Arabidopsis thaliana: one gene and its partner. The protein of the gene in region 1 interacts with the protein of each later gene in a pairwise test. Each region holds a gene or a part of one and is shown in the gene's direction. Other genes may lie near its edges. The genes, in order: AT1G47670 and NRT1.5.

Evidence for each region.
Region 2: the proteins of AT1G47670 (region 1) and NRT1.5 interact in a protein complementation assay, tested with the Arabidopsis thaliana proteins (one large-scale study listed by BioGRID).

What each region holds. Positions count from the first base shown.
Region 1 is NC_003070.9:17,536,088-17,541,588, reverse strand, and holds AT1G47670 (Transmembrane amino acid transporter family protein), read left to right. Parts: upstream 1-1,869; 5' UTR 1,870-2,102; coding exon 2,103-2,479; intron 2,480-3,174; coding exon 3,175-3,308; intron 3,309-3,438; coding exon 3,439-3,866; intron 3,867-3,948; coding exon 3,949-4,080; intron 4,081-4,266; coding exon 4,267-4,755; 3' UTR 4,756-4,964; downstream 4,965-5,501. Other genes in the region: AT1G47680 (uncharacterized protein), read right to left, coding at 500-814. UniProt on the Arabidopsis thaliana protein: Amino acid transporter.
Region 2 is NC_003070.9:11,714,445-11,721,807, reverse strand, and holds NRT1.5 (nitrate transporter 1.5), read left to right. Parts: upstream 1-1,819; 5' UTR 1,820-2,000; coding exon 2,001-2,030; intron 2,031-2,735; coding exon 2,736-2,850; intron 2,851-4,505; coding exon 4,506-4,723; intron 4,724-4,816; coding exon 4,817-5,388; intron 5,389-5,467; coding exon 5,468-5,966; intron 5,967-6,060; coding exon 6,061-6,471; 3' UTR 6,472-6,661; downstream 6,662-7,363. Other genes in the region: PKp3 (plastidial pyruvate kinase 3), read right to left, coding at 6,845-6,964, 7,047-7,155, 7,255-7,363. UniProt on the Arabidopsis thaliana protein: Low-affinity proton-dependent bidirectional nitrate transporter. Involved in nitrate loading into xylem and not in nitrate uptake. Not involved in histidine or dipeptides transport.

The sequences.
Region 1 (5,501 bases):
TAGCTAAATATTACTTGTACTTCAATGACTAGTACAAAACACCCAAATACCATGACCTTGCTTGTTTTGATATTCTCTAATAAAACCCAACTTGGTTTAAACATCTCTAAAATCTGACTTAGTTCCAAGATTGACCAATCATCTACCTTCTTGAGATGCAGCCTCGTGATTATACTTCTTGACTCTTCATCTAGTTTCTTTAGATGTAGTCCCATGATCTTTCAATGACGTACGACTTCTCTCCACATATCATTTAGAATCTTCATTAGATACCTGGAGACTCCTCCTCTATGCAACATCGATTGAACTCCCTTGAAGTAAAGTCTCCTCCTTTATCGGTACAAAAGGTTTTAATAGACAAGCCGACTTGCTTCTCTAAAACTCTTGAAAAGCTTTTGAACCGATCAAAACTTGAATGAATATGTCAACAAGGAACCATCTTGTTCTTGTTGACTGATTCAAACTCCTCTTCACATCTTTCCTCCATTAAAGCACATCTTTAGCCTCTTGGCTCATTACTTGTTGAAAGTTGACGTCTCTTACTTTTAACATAAGCTTGGTGGAACAATCCATAAGTTGTTTCGGACTGCATAACATAGTCTTCAAGGTACCGCGACTGACTTATTTGTCGACCCGACCTTCTCAGTTGTGGTACTCCTTGAACTACTTCACCAACCTCATTATGGTATTTTTTAGTGATATCCTCCATGCCATCATCTTCTTCATGTACTTCTCCAACATCTTCTCTGTGAATCAACTCCAATATGATATAACCGAGCATGTCATGTCCTTGTAGCTTCAGTAGAAAGTCCATCGACAAGTGATGTTGGATAATTCCTAACTTGAAGAGCAAGATATCTCCTTTTAGTAGATGGTAGAAGAGATACAAGAAAATAAAATACAAATAACGTCAAGTTGGACATAATTTGTAACTCTTCCTTTTCAAATCATGACTAAACTCTAAATTTAGATGTAATTTAGCTTAGTGGTAGGTCAGAGCAAATGGATTTGGTTTATACGTTTGCAATTATGTAATTCCATGGATGTAGTTTGAAAGACCAAACTTCATTACAATTATGTGTATCAATTTATTTTGCTTACTCGTATCTATTTTATCACTAGAATACAAAGATTTTGCTAACTCCAAATCTATTATTTTCAGACAAGCATATCCTGTAAATCTTCAATCATCCAAAAAGTGATGTTGAGTTTAGATCCAACTCCAAAATGTATTTATCTTATTTTTAAGTAAAAAACTGAAGAAATGAGTTTGCGAATCTTTTAAATAGTTATTTTGTATAATGCATATTAGAGAAAGAACAAAGATAAATTTTTGTATCAAATATTTAAACTGAGTTAATGGTGGTTTATGAAGGGTGTTATAGTGCATTCACTCCCTTATATAATCGATATCTCTAATCCCTTGGTAAAATTAAATTGTTGTATTGAATTTTTTTATGAAAGAGTAAGGTGAGTTGCAAATTTTGCTTGGCCTCAAAAATTCTTCTCTCTATTTTTTCATTTACATGTTTGAAGTGTTACTTTTTACTTTGCTAAGATATTTCAGTGTTACTTTTTAATCTACATATTTCATTGTTATTTTTTAATTTACATATATCAATGTTATTTTTCCACTCAGATAAGGTGAAATATTTCAGCTAACTTAAAGTGATTATGATCATCAACACCTATTTCATGTCAATTTTTTGCTAAAAAATAAACAAATTGGTCATAATGTTCAAAAACTTGACCTCACCATCATAATACTTAGTACTTACTGGTCAAACAAACATATGTTCAGAACTTTTGTATTGATGGGGAAGGTTACTTTTGTCGTAATGTTACAAAAAAAAAATTGTTACTGTTGAGACCATTATAAATAATCATGTCATGTTCTTTAATTATCAACTTTGATTGTCATTTAATTGTAAATTTCGTTAGTTAATCTGTCCTCTTCTTGTAATTAAATAAAAATTTGTTTCAATACCAATAAAGTTGTCCTAAAAAAAACCACCCCTCTAAATAGGGAGTGAGTGAGAGAGAGAGTGATAGTGAGAACAAAAAAAAAACATCATTTCTTCTCGCACTCTTCACCTGCTCCAATGGACGAAAGACCCGAGACAGAGCTAATATCAATACCAGCCACACCACGAGTTTCAACACCGGAGATTCTAACTCCCTCCGGTCAAAGATCACCTCGTCCGGCCACCAAACCATCGTCGGCGACATGGACTCCGACTTCGTTCATATCACCGAGGTTCTTGAGTCCGATTGGTACACCAATGAAACGAGTTCTTGTGAACATGAAAGGGTATCTTGAAGAAGTTGGTCATCTCACTAAGCTAAACCCACAAGATGCTTGGCTTCCAATCACTGAATCTCGTAATGGAAACGCTCATTACGCTGCTTTTCACAATCTCAACGCTGGTGTTGGTTTTCAAGCCCTTGTTCTTCCCGTCGCGTTTGCGTTTCTTGGCTGGTGCGTTTGCGTTTTTCTTGATTTTTCCAATAATCTTTTTTCTTGTTTTTGAGTTTTTTCTTGAACTTTGTGTTTAGTGTTTCAAGATTATTTTTGTTTAGTGAACGGCGAGGGTTTATTCGACTCTCTGTGGTGCTCAGATCCAGTTTCAGGGTTCACTTTACTTGTTTGGGCAAAAATCAAAAATGTTTTTCTTGTCGGAAATAATAATAGGATATTGACTAATTTACTTTTTAACTTTGAAAACATTTCAATTTTAGCAGTAGATATTTTCTTTTTAATTTGTCATGCTTCCATCATTACACATGTGGATACTCACAGACATACTTTTTTGCTTTAATTTGGATTAAGACAGAGCCTTCTTTATCGTCTACTTTGTTTCTTGTTAATTTCCGGCAAAAAACACTTTTCTGAAAAGTATTTATTGTGTATATATAAGTAGGGCATGTAGTTGACGTCATAATAGATGACTATTTCTTCTTATAAACTTATATTTAGATAAATATTTTTTATTGCAAGTTCTAATATTTGAAACTATACATAACTTGTTAAGGTGGAGCATTTGGCTAGTTCAATACTTAAATAGCTTAGTGATGAATAATGATATTGCAATGATCATGTATTTGAGATTCTTATGTAAGAAAATGCACATATATTATTTCCAAACTTCAAGAAGTGAATTATTGTTGTTACAGGAGTTGGGGAATACTGTCTTTAACAATAGCATATTGCTGGCAACTCTACACACTGTGGATTCTGGTTCAGTTGCACGAAGCTGTCCCCGGGAAACGCTACAATCGATATGTCGAGCTTGCACAAGCTGCTTTTGGTAAAATGATAAATTTAGTTTTACATTAAGAATGATGAAATAATGCATCAATAGTGACAATTATTATTGATACTAATTTTGTGTCTTGCTAAGTTGCTATTACTAAATCTTGTACTCTTGATTGGAACAGGAGAAAGGTTAGGAGTATGGCTTGCATTGTTTCCTACGGTTTACTTATCAGCAGGAACCGCGACAGCGCTGATTCTGATCGGTGGAGAGACAATGAAACTCTTCTTCCAGATAGTTTGCGGTCCATTATGCACCTCGAATCCGTTAACAACAGTTGAATGGTATTTGGTGTTTACATCTCTCTGCATCGTTCTGTCTCAGCTACCAAACCTCAATTCTATTGCGGGACTCTCCTTAATAGGAGCAGTGACTGCAATAACTTACTCCACAATGGTTTGGGTTCTCTCTGTGAGCCAACCAAGACCAGCCACTATCTCATACGAGCCTCTTTCTATGCCTTCGACTTCTGGTTCACTCTTCGCTGTTTTGAATGCTCTTGGCATTATAGCTTTTGCCTTCAGAGGTCACAACTTGGTTTTGGAAATTCAGGTAAAATATGCAAAATATTTCTGTCTATAGATAATGCACATATTGGACTTATGATTTATTCTGAGTATTGAAAACTTTGTAGTCGACGATGCCATCAACGTTTAAGCATCCTGCTCACGTACCAATGTGGAGAGGAGCCAAAATCTCTTACTTCCTCATTGCTCTGTGTATCTTTCCAATCTCCATCGGAGGCTTTTGGGCTTATGGGAACCTTGTAAGTTCCATTTACTATATCTTTTGTTTATGTCTTGTCAGTGAAGGATGTTTATCTGGTGTTTGGTTCATGTTAGTGAAATATAGAATTCAAAAGGAACACTAATATCATTTATTTATAGTTCGTTTTCTGATCTTTGGTTCAATTTCCGGATTAGTTTGAAGTTATTTTTTCTTGGTCTTATAGATGCCTTCAGGAGGTATGCTTGCTGCTTTGTATGCATTCCACATTCACGATATCCCGAGAGGCTTATTAGCGACGGCATTTCTCCTAGTAGTCTTCAGCTGCTTGAGCAGTTTTCAGATATACTCCATGCCTGCCTTTGACAGCTTTGAAGCTGGCTACACAAGCAGAACCAACAAGCCGTGTTCGATTTGGGTCAGATCAGGTTTCCGAGTCTTTTTTGGTTTTGTCTCGTTTTTCATCGGTGTTGCTCTCCCTTTTCTGTCTAGTCTTGCGGGGTTGCTCGGTGGACTCACTCTCCCGGTCACATTTGCTTATCCTTGCTTCATGTGGGTCTTGATTAAGAAACCGGCGAAATACAGTTTCAATTGGTATTTCCATTGGGGATTAGGTTGGTTGGGAGTTGCATTCAGCTTGGCATTCTCCATAGGTGGGATCTGGAGTATGGTTACCAATGGACTTAAGCTCAAGTTCTTCAAGCCGCCTAACTAAGTAGTAATAGCCTATGTGGTTTTGTTTGGTTGGGAAGTTTGAAGTTTTAAGAGATTTTGTATTTCTGTGTTTTGTTTAAGAGTGCCTATGTTTTGAAGTTGGAACAATGTAATGTGTATTATAATTCAGTAAGCTTTTCAATATAAAGAATTTGGAATTTTGAAGAATCACACTTGTGTGCCTCTGTTGAATCCCTAGCTGGAATTTTCCCAACGTGGTTTTCTCTTTTCCATCTTTTTTTCAAATTATTTTGATACTACTAAAAATAACGATACATGAGTATTAAACTAAATTAAGCTAGATCAAGAATTCGGATTCAAAGTAATCGTTTTAGTGTATGAAAGATGATATTCTCGGATGATCTTTTGTTCTGCACAACTTTTTGGATCCTGCGGGAAGAGGGAAAGTATATAGAATTACATGATATCATATGTTGATATCAAGCGACTTGACATAAGAATTGGTGAAGCTCATGTTTGATGAAAATTGATGTACAAGTATACCCCTGTCGACGGACGACTGCACTACGATTTGTATAAGAGCAGATACGGGGCATGTTTTTAGAGTGTCTTTTTGTACATGAGAATTTAGATGTGTGCATGGTTTCATGTCTATTACGCATTTAATACCCTCAATGTACATCGAGTCGATTTCTCTGTCATGTTCTAGGTGAAGTGTCGGACCGCCAATGAGATTGTGGGATACGGGCTTTGCCCTCCATGCCCAATTCGGCCCAAACACAAATA
Region 2 (7,363 bases), 5.8 Mb from region 1:
ATATTTAAAAATAATTTGTGATTTATAAATTTATGATATTGAAGTATATAAAACCGATATTTAATGTATACCTTTCAATAATTATATAAAGTATATTTTAAAAGTCAAAATTTGTATAAATTGATATTGCAACCTCATGAAATCGTAGTGATTTACACGTAGGGTACCACAAGCTAATTTTTATTTTATTTTTAATAAACTGATAAATTTGTTGATTTTAGTTAAAATTAAAACATAAATTAAGTTATATTTGTTTTGTTTATTGTTTCAGATTGTATAACTATATTTTGATTGTTAATTCCATAATTTTATCTGTTGTATAATATTGACCAACACCCGGCTAGTTTTTTGTAATCTAATGTTGACCCTGAAAGAAAAATCTATAAGCATACGCATAAATGGATAGTAAAATTAGGAGATAAATATCATTAGAACATGAAGTAATTTACATATGAATCTCTATCTATTTTTTTAAGGAATCAATATTCTAGATTGATTGTGAGGCAATATGAATGTATGCATAACATTTATAAGAGATAGATTGTACATAAAATTAGATTTTAATTTGGATTCAATTTTAGCTTTACTGGAAAAAAACTAATCTGAATTACATATTTTAAATTTAGGATAACGAAAATATTTTTTTTTAAAGCTAAAATTAGATCTCAACGATTTTGGTATGTTTTTAAATTAAACTTATCCTTATACATTATCGCAAATATGGTAGTCATTATTGTTCGAATACAATTAATGATCTGCCAAAAAAATCATATTAGTGATGGTTCTCATTTTGAATATTTGCATTAAAATTTTTAAATATTGGTATTTAAACTTTGTTTTACTATTTAAAAATAAATAAATAATTTAATCTAGTATAATGAATATTTCAAAAGCTTGTAACTATTATAATACGTTTAAAAATATATTTTCTTTTATATAATTCAAATTTAGCTTAGTGATATATTTTTAAAATAATGAAAATTACTTGTTTTAAAAAAAAAGTACTTTAAACGTTTATATCATTTAAATTCTAATTAAAATATTAAATATATACTGAAACCATTTTCTAGATAATTACAAATCTAAAATCCAAAAATTTTCTTAATTTATTGATTTAAATCATTTTTTAAAAAAGAAAAATTGAAGATATTTATTTAGTTGGAGTAGTTGTTAATTTACTAAATTACCCATGCAAAAATATTCATTTAGTTAGTTTTAAACTACCCTTACAATGTTGTAGTTCACACAATGCTTCCCAATTAATAGTATACATGTGTGATCACGAGTGTTCAACATAAAATATAATGTAACTTCAGGAATAGAAAGATATTCTTTTTTCTTTTAGAATTTGAAATCTAAATTGGATATAAGAAATTATTCGAACCTTCAATTTTTTCAGTCTATACGTACTTATTTAATTTAATGTGGTACCTCTTTTTTCTAACAACAAATATTTTGGGATTTTCCGTTGTAGTGAAATTTATAGAATCATTAATTAAATCTATTTCTACCAAACGTTTAAGTTTTGCTACGAAAATAAATAAATAAATATCCTCCGACCATCAGCCTCAGCCACATCCCCAAGTTTCGAAAGCACAAGAAGCCTTTCAGCGCCAGAGAAAACAAAATTATTGGGTGGAAAATGCAAATATTGATTTCCTAAATAATTAAAATTGTGCTTTTGAGCTTTTTTTTTCATCGTGCTAAAGTATTTTTTCAGAAACAAAACAATTAAAAATAGATATTGGGCATGTGAGTGTCCCATGTAAAATCAGAACCGTTCAAATCATCTTCCAAACTTCTATTTATTCTCAACATTCTCTTCTCTACAACACCCAAGCTTGAACTTGCTTTCTGCTTCTTCCTTCTTCGTCCTTTGTTTTAATTCTCTCATATCACTTACGAAAAGAAGAAAGAAAAAAAACACCAAAACTAAAGAGAAATTTCGTTATCACTCTCTTGCCAAAACTCACATACATATAATCATATATCATCGCAAAATGTCTTGCCTAGAGATTTATAACAAAGACGTAAGTAATATTTAAGCTTGTCCCTTCAATTGTTTCTTTATTTTCTTTGATATATTAATCAGAGTTTGAAGTAATGGACCTTTGCTTTTCTTCCTTATAAGATTTTGATTATCTGATTAAGGCTCTTGTTTCTTGAATTTCATATGTGACTACAAAAGGAAATATTTTCTTTTTAAGTTACTCATTGTTATAGTAAAAACTTTCTAAGCTTTTGGTGGCTCAAGAAGAGCATGATCAAAAGGACATGCTTAGTGCAATGGAAAGTCACGATCTTTATGTGCAAAAACTTAGCTCAACATCTTTTCTTTTTCTTCAAATTTCTTTTTAATACACCATACTTTTTAATTAATTAGCTCTATTATATCTAATCTTCTTAATTTAAATATATAGATGTAAGTATTTTTCCGTTTAGTGCTGTCATTGAAAGTTGAGAATGATTCCAAATGATCTTGAAAATTGTGTATACGAAACGAGAATTACGTGCCAATACAAAAAGTAAGAGTTAAAAAAAAAAAACGTTTTTAGTTTTTGGTTAAGTTCCGGAAAATACAAAACTATCGAACTCATGAATCTTCTCCATATCAAGAGCACAAAAGGTTGTAGAGACTAGTAGATAATTAGGCATATAAAGCATCTTTCTATATATTTATAGATAAATTGATGTGTGTGTATCAGTTAATTAAATTTAACTAAATGAAAATGCAGACGATGAAGAAGAAAGAAGGAGAAGAAGAAACAAGAGATGGGACAGTGGATTACTATGGTCGTCCCTCTATTCGTTCTAACTCAGGCCAATGGGTTGCTGGCATCGTCATTCTTCGTATGTCTCTCTTCCCTAATCAAAATTACAATTTAACTATATATCAAATTGAAATAAATATATAGTTTTGCTAAGAAATCAACTCTAGAATATAAACCAAAGCGGAGGAAAATATATGATCGACACCTTAAAACATAGAATCTTTTATTTTATTTTATTTTGTTCTTCACGTCCTTTTCTCAAAGATACCACATGCAAACTCATAGCATCTTTGCATAAGGTATATTCAGTGCCGGTCCCTATATAATTCATGGATTCAAATCATTAGTATGGCTTAATACATGATTTGTATATTTCTACACACATGTTTACATTATTTTGTATATAAAATTATGTGTAGCGTATAAATTGAGATATATATCCCGACAAAAAAACGTATGAATTGAACTGACAAGGGAAAAAAACTAGATACCGATATGATGTATATCTAAAAGTGTGTAGATTGATTGATATGCATACTTATCTTTGAGGTAATAAGTTATCAGAAACTAGGAAAGTGACAATAGAACCAACATTAATAACTAGAATTAACTTCGAATTTTACGTGAACGTGTCAAGACATATCCATGTGTTCGAACGTACGCTGCATGTTTTGGTAGAAAAACCCCAACCACATGACAAATGCATATAATTTTTTGTTGTATAACGGACGCATCATTAATGAATTTCCAGACTTATCTAGTAAATTTCCCATAAATTCTTGCTATTTTTTATTTATTAATTATAGGGATCCCAACAATTATAGTACTTATGTAAAGCAAAAAGAATACTTATGATGAAAAATAGTTATTATATAATAAACATATGTGTACTTTTCAATCATTTTCTCCAAAAAACAAAATACTAATAATTCAAACGCAACTAATGTGATGTAAGAGATCTGAATGATTGAGTGTTTTTGTTAAAATTAATGGATCTAGTTTGTCATTTAGAAAATAACTGAAAGTGAAAACATTCAGATTTGTAAGTGATTCTATATATGGAGATAGATATTTAGGTTTTTTAAAGATACTTTTATGGAATTTAACCAAAAAAAGGAAAAAAAGTTATTTTGAGAAAGTCGACACTAATAAATTAAAATAAGTGCAAGGAAAGCATGTGTTAGTGGAATTACGTTGCCTTACACGTAATTACCCATCTCGTCGTCCCATGACGTTGGCTTTTGCCACGTCCACTTCTTCACATTTTTCTCCTAACATTTTCAAATTTTGCTTTACAAAATTATGTTACTATTAAATTATATTTTAAGAATATTACACAAAGCATTTATTTTTATACAAAGTACAATTTAAGAGATTCTAGTGGGTTTTCTTTTTGGTTTGATGATTTATTAGTAGAGTCCACGTAATAGTTTTAATAATTATTATTAGTTAACGATTTGTATTTCGCATGAAGAATTTAATTTGCTAAAATTGTAGTTATTTGTAGATTTCATTATCATTTTTTTATTTGATTTCGTTAGAAGGTGGAACAATAATGAAGTAGTCATTAAATACAATCCAACCAAAGAAATGTTAACATCATCTTGACGAACACGGAACAATTATTAACAATCATTCATTCAATTCTTTCATCTATTCTGGTTTCTTTCAAATCAATAATAATTTGGTTAACTCTCTCTAAACCGGGTTCTAATCTAATTTTCCGGTTAACAGTGAACCAGGGGCTGGCTACACTAGCCTTCTTTGGAGTTGGAGTGAACTTGGTGCTCTTCCTAACTCGCGTTTTGCAGCAGAACAACGCAGACGCAGCTAACAACGTTAGCAAATGGACAGGGACTGTTTATATCTTCTCATTGGTTGGAGCGTTTCTCAGCGATTCGTATTGGGGTCGTTACAAGACTTGTGCTATCTTCCAAGTCATTTTTGTCATTGTAAGTAATAGCAACTATCAAAATGTGATTCATCTTTTTTAAGTTGGAACGTTTTAAGCTCATAAGAACGCTTTTTTGGATGTGAAAACGCAGGGACTTTCATCGCTATCGCTATCATCATACATGTTCTTGATTAGACCAAGAGGTTGTGGGGACGAAGTCACGCCTTGTGGTTCACATTCCATGATGGAGATCACAATGTTCTACTTCTCGATCTACTTGATCGCATTGGGATATGGCGGTTACCAACCAAACATTGCAACGCTTGGAGCGGATCAGTTCGATGAGGAGCATCCTAAAGAAGGGTACTCGAAGATTGCGTTTTTCAGCTACTTTTACCTTGCTTTAAACCTCGGATCGCTCTTTTCGAACACCATCTTGGGGTATTTTGAGGATGAGGGAATGTGGGCACTCGGGTTTTGGGCATCCACTGGCTCTGCTATCATTGGGTTGATTCTTTTCCTTGTTGGAACACCGAGATACCGATATTTCAAGCCCACGGGGAATCCTCTTTCGAGGTTTTGCCAAGTTTTGGTCGCTGCAACGAAGAAATCATCGGTGGAGGCACCATTAAGAGGGAGAGAGGAGATGTATGACGGAGACAGCGAAGGGAAAAATGCTTCAGTTAACACAGGGAGAAGGATAGTGCATACCGATGAATTCAAGTAAGTCACCAAAAATTGCAGTTTCACCATATACTTCAATGCCATGAAGTGTTCTAACATGTTCCTTTTGGAATTTCAGGTTCTTGGACAAAGCAGCGTACATCACAGCTAGAGATCTAGATGACAAGAAACAAGACTCAGTGAACCCATGGAGGCTCTGTCCAGTGACACAAGTCGAGGAAGTCAAGTGTATTCTTAGACTGATGCCAATTTGGCTCTGCACTATAATCTACTCAGTCGTCTTCACTCAAATGGCCTCTCTCTTTGTGGAGCAAGGCGCTGCAATGAATACCTCTGTCTCAGATTTCAAAATCCCCCCGGCAAGTATGTCCAGCTTCGACATCCTTAGCGTCGCTTTGTTCATATTCCTGTACCGCAGAGTTCTCGAGCCAGTAGCCAACAGATTCAAAAAGAATGGATCAAAAGGAATCACCGAGCTTCACAGGATGGGAATCGGACTTGTGATTGCTGTCATAGCTATGATTGCAGCCGGGATTGTGGAATGCTATAGGCTTAAGTATGCAGACAAGAGTTGTACTCACTGTGATGGCTCAAGCTCCTTAAGCATCTTCTGGCAGGTAATGAACACAGACCTTAAAACTCACTTTGGTCCTAAAATCAACAACTTACAAAAGAAACTTCCGAGTATTGACACTCTTCTACTCTTTGCAGGCTCCACAATACTCACTCATCGGGGCATCAGAAGTGTTCATGTACGTGGGTCAGCTTGAGTTCTTCAACGCGCAAACACCAGACGGACTAAAGAGCTTCGGGAGCGCTCTGTGTATGATGTCAATGTCAATGGGGAACTTTGTTAGTAGCTTGTTGGTAACAATGGTGGTGAAGATCTCAACAGAGGATCACATGCCTGGTTGGATTCCAAGGAATCTCAACAAAGGTCACTTAGACAGATTCTATTTCCTCCTGGCTGCGTTGACGAGCATTGACCTGGTGGTATACATTGCATGTGCAAAATGGTACAAACCTATACAACTAGAAGGAAAAGATGAGATGCAAGACATGAGTGATGATGACTATGACACCGAGAGTGAAGAGGAACGAGAGAAGGATTCTAAAGTCTAACAAATGTGTGTTTGGTTTTCAGTTTTCCGGTGATGTAACAGCAAACTGATTCATAAATAAAAGGCTAAATCGGATCAGTCTTTTTCGTCGAAAAGACTTCTTCTTTAAACTCCTAAGCTCTAAAGACTTAACTGTAATGTGTTATATGGGTTACTCTTACCAATAAGTAATCAGATGAGATAGACAGAAATCCTCCATGACATATCAAACATTTAGGTACTAAACTATAACCAGAAAAAAAGCTTCAATAACTTAAAATTTTATATGGTTGTTTGATTCACTGTGAGTGATTCAAAAAAATATGGATCGAACTGTGTAAGAGAAAGAAAGCTGAGTAAAAGCAAGATGTTGTGTAGCTCAAGAAGTAAAAACATCATCCACCTATCTTTATCTTACGGACTTGTATGAGATGTGTTGATTCTTCACGCCAAATGGGTTGCGAGCCACTTTGGACAAGAGTTACATGTTGTCCTTCCTTGAGCATATTCTCGTCCTGAGTGATGTATAAGTTAAGTGTAAGCAAAACTGCCGAAAATGTAATGTTTGATAGATGAGAAGGTACATGGTTAACGTACCTGTAAGAGTTTGAGAGACCGGGCATATGTATCTTCTGCATCATCCGAGAACTCCATATATATAGGCATGACACCTTGATAAAGAGCAAGCCTTTGCATTATTCTTCTCCTAAAGGAAATAAACCAAAAGATCGATCAAAACCCATTTCATCGATTAAAAGTTGCATACATAGGACATTTCCTGATTGACAGATGAACAAACACTTACTGGTTTGTGAAGGCGAAAATTGTTGCAGATGGGCGGTAGTGGCTTAGAAGCACTGCCATGGATCCGGTTCTCGTAAATACAATTAGCGGTGAGCTCAGTGTATTTGCCA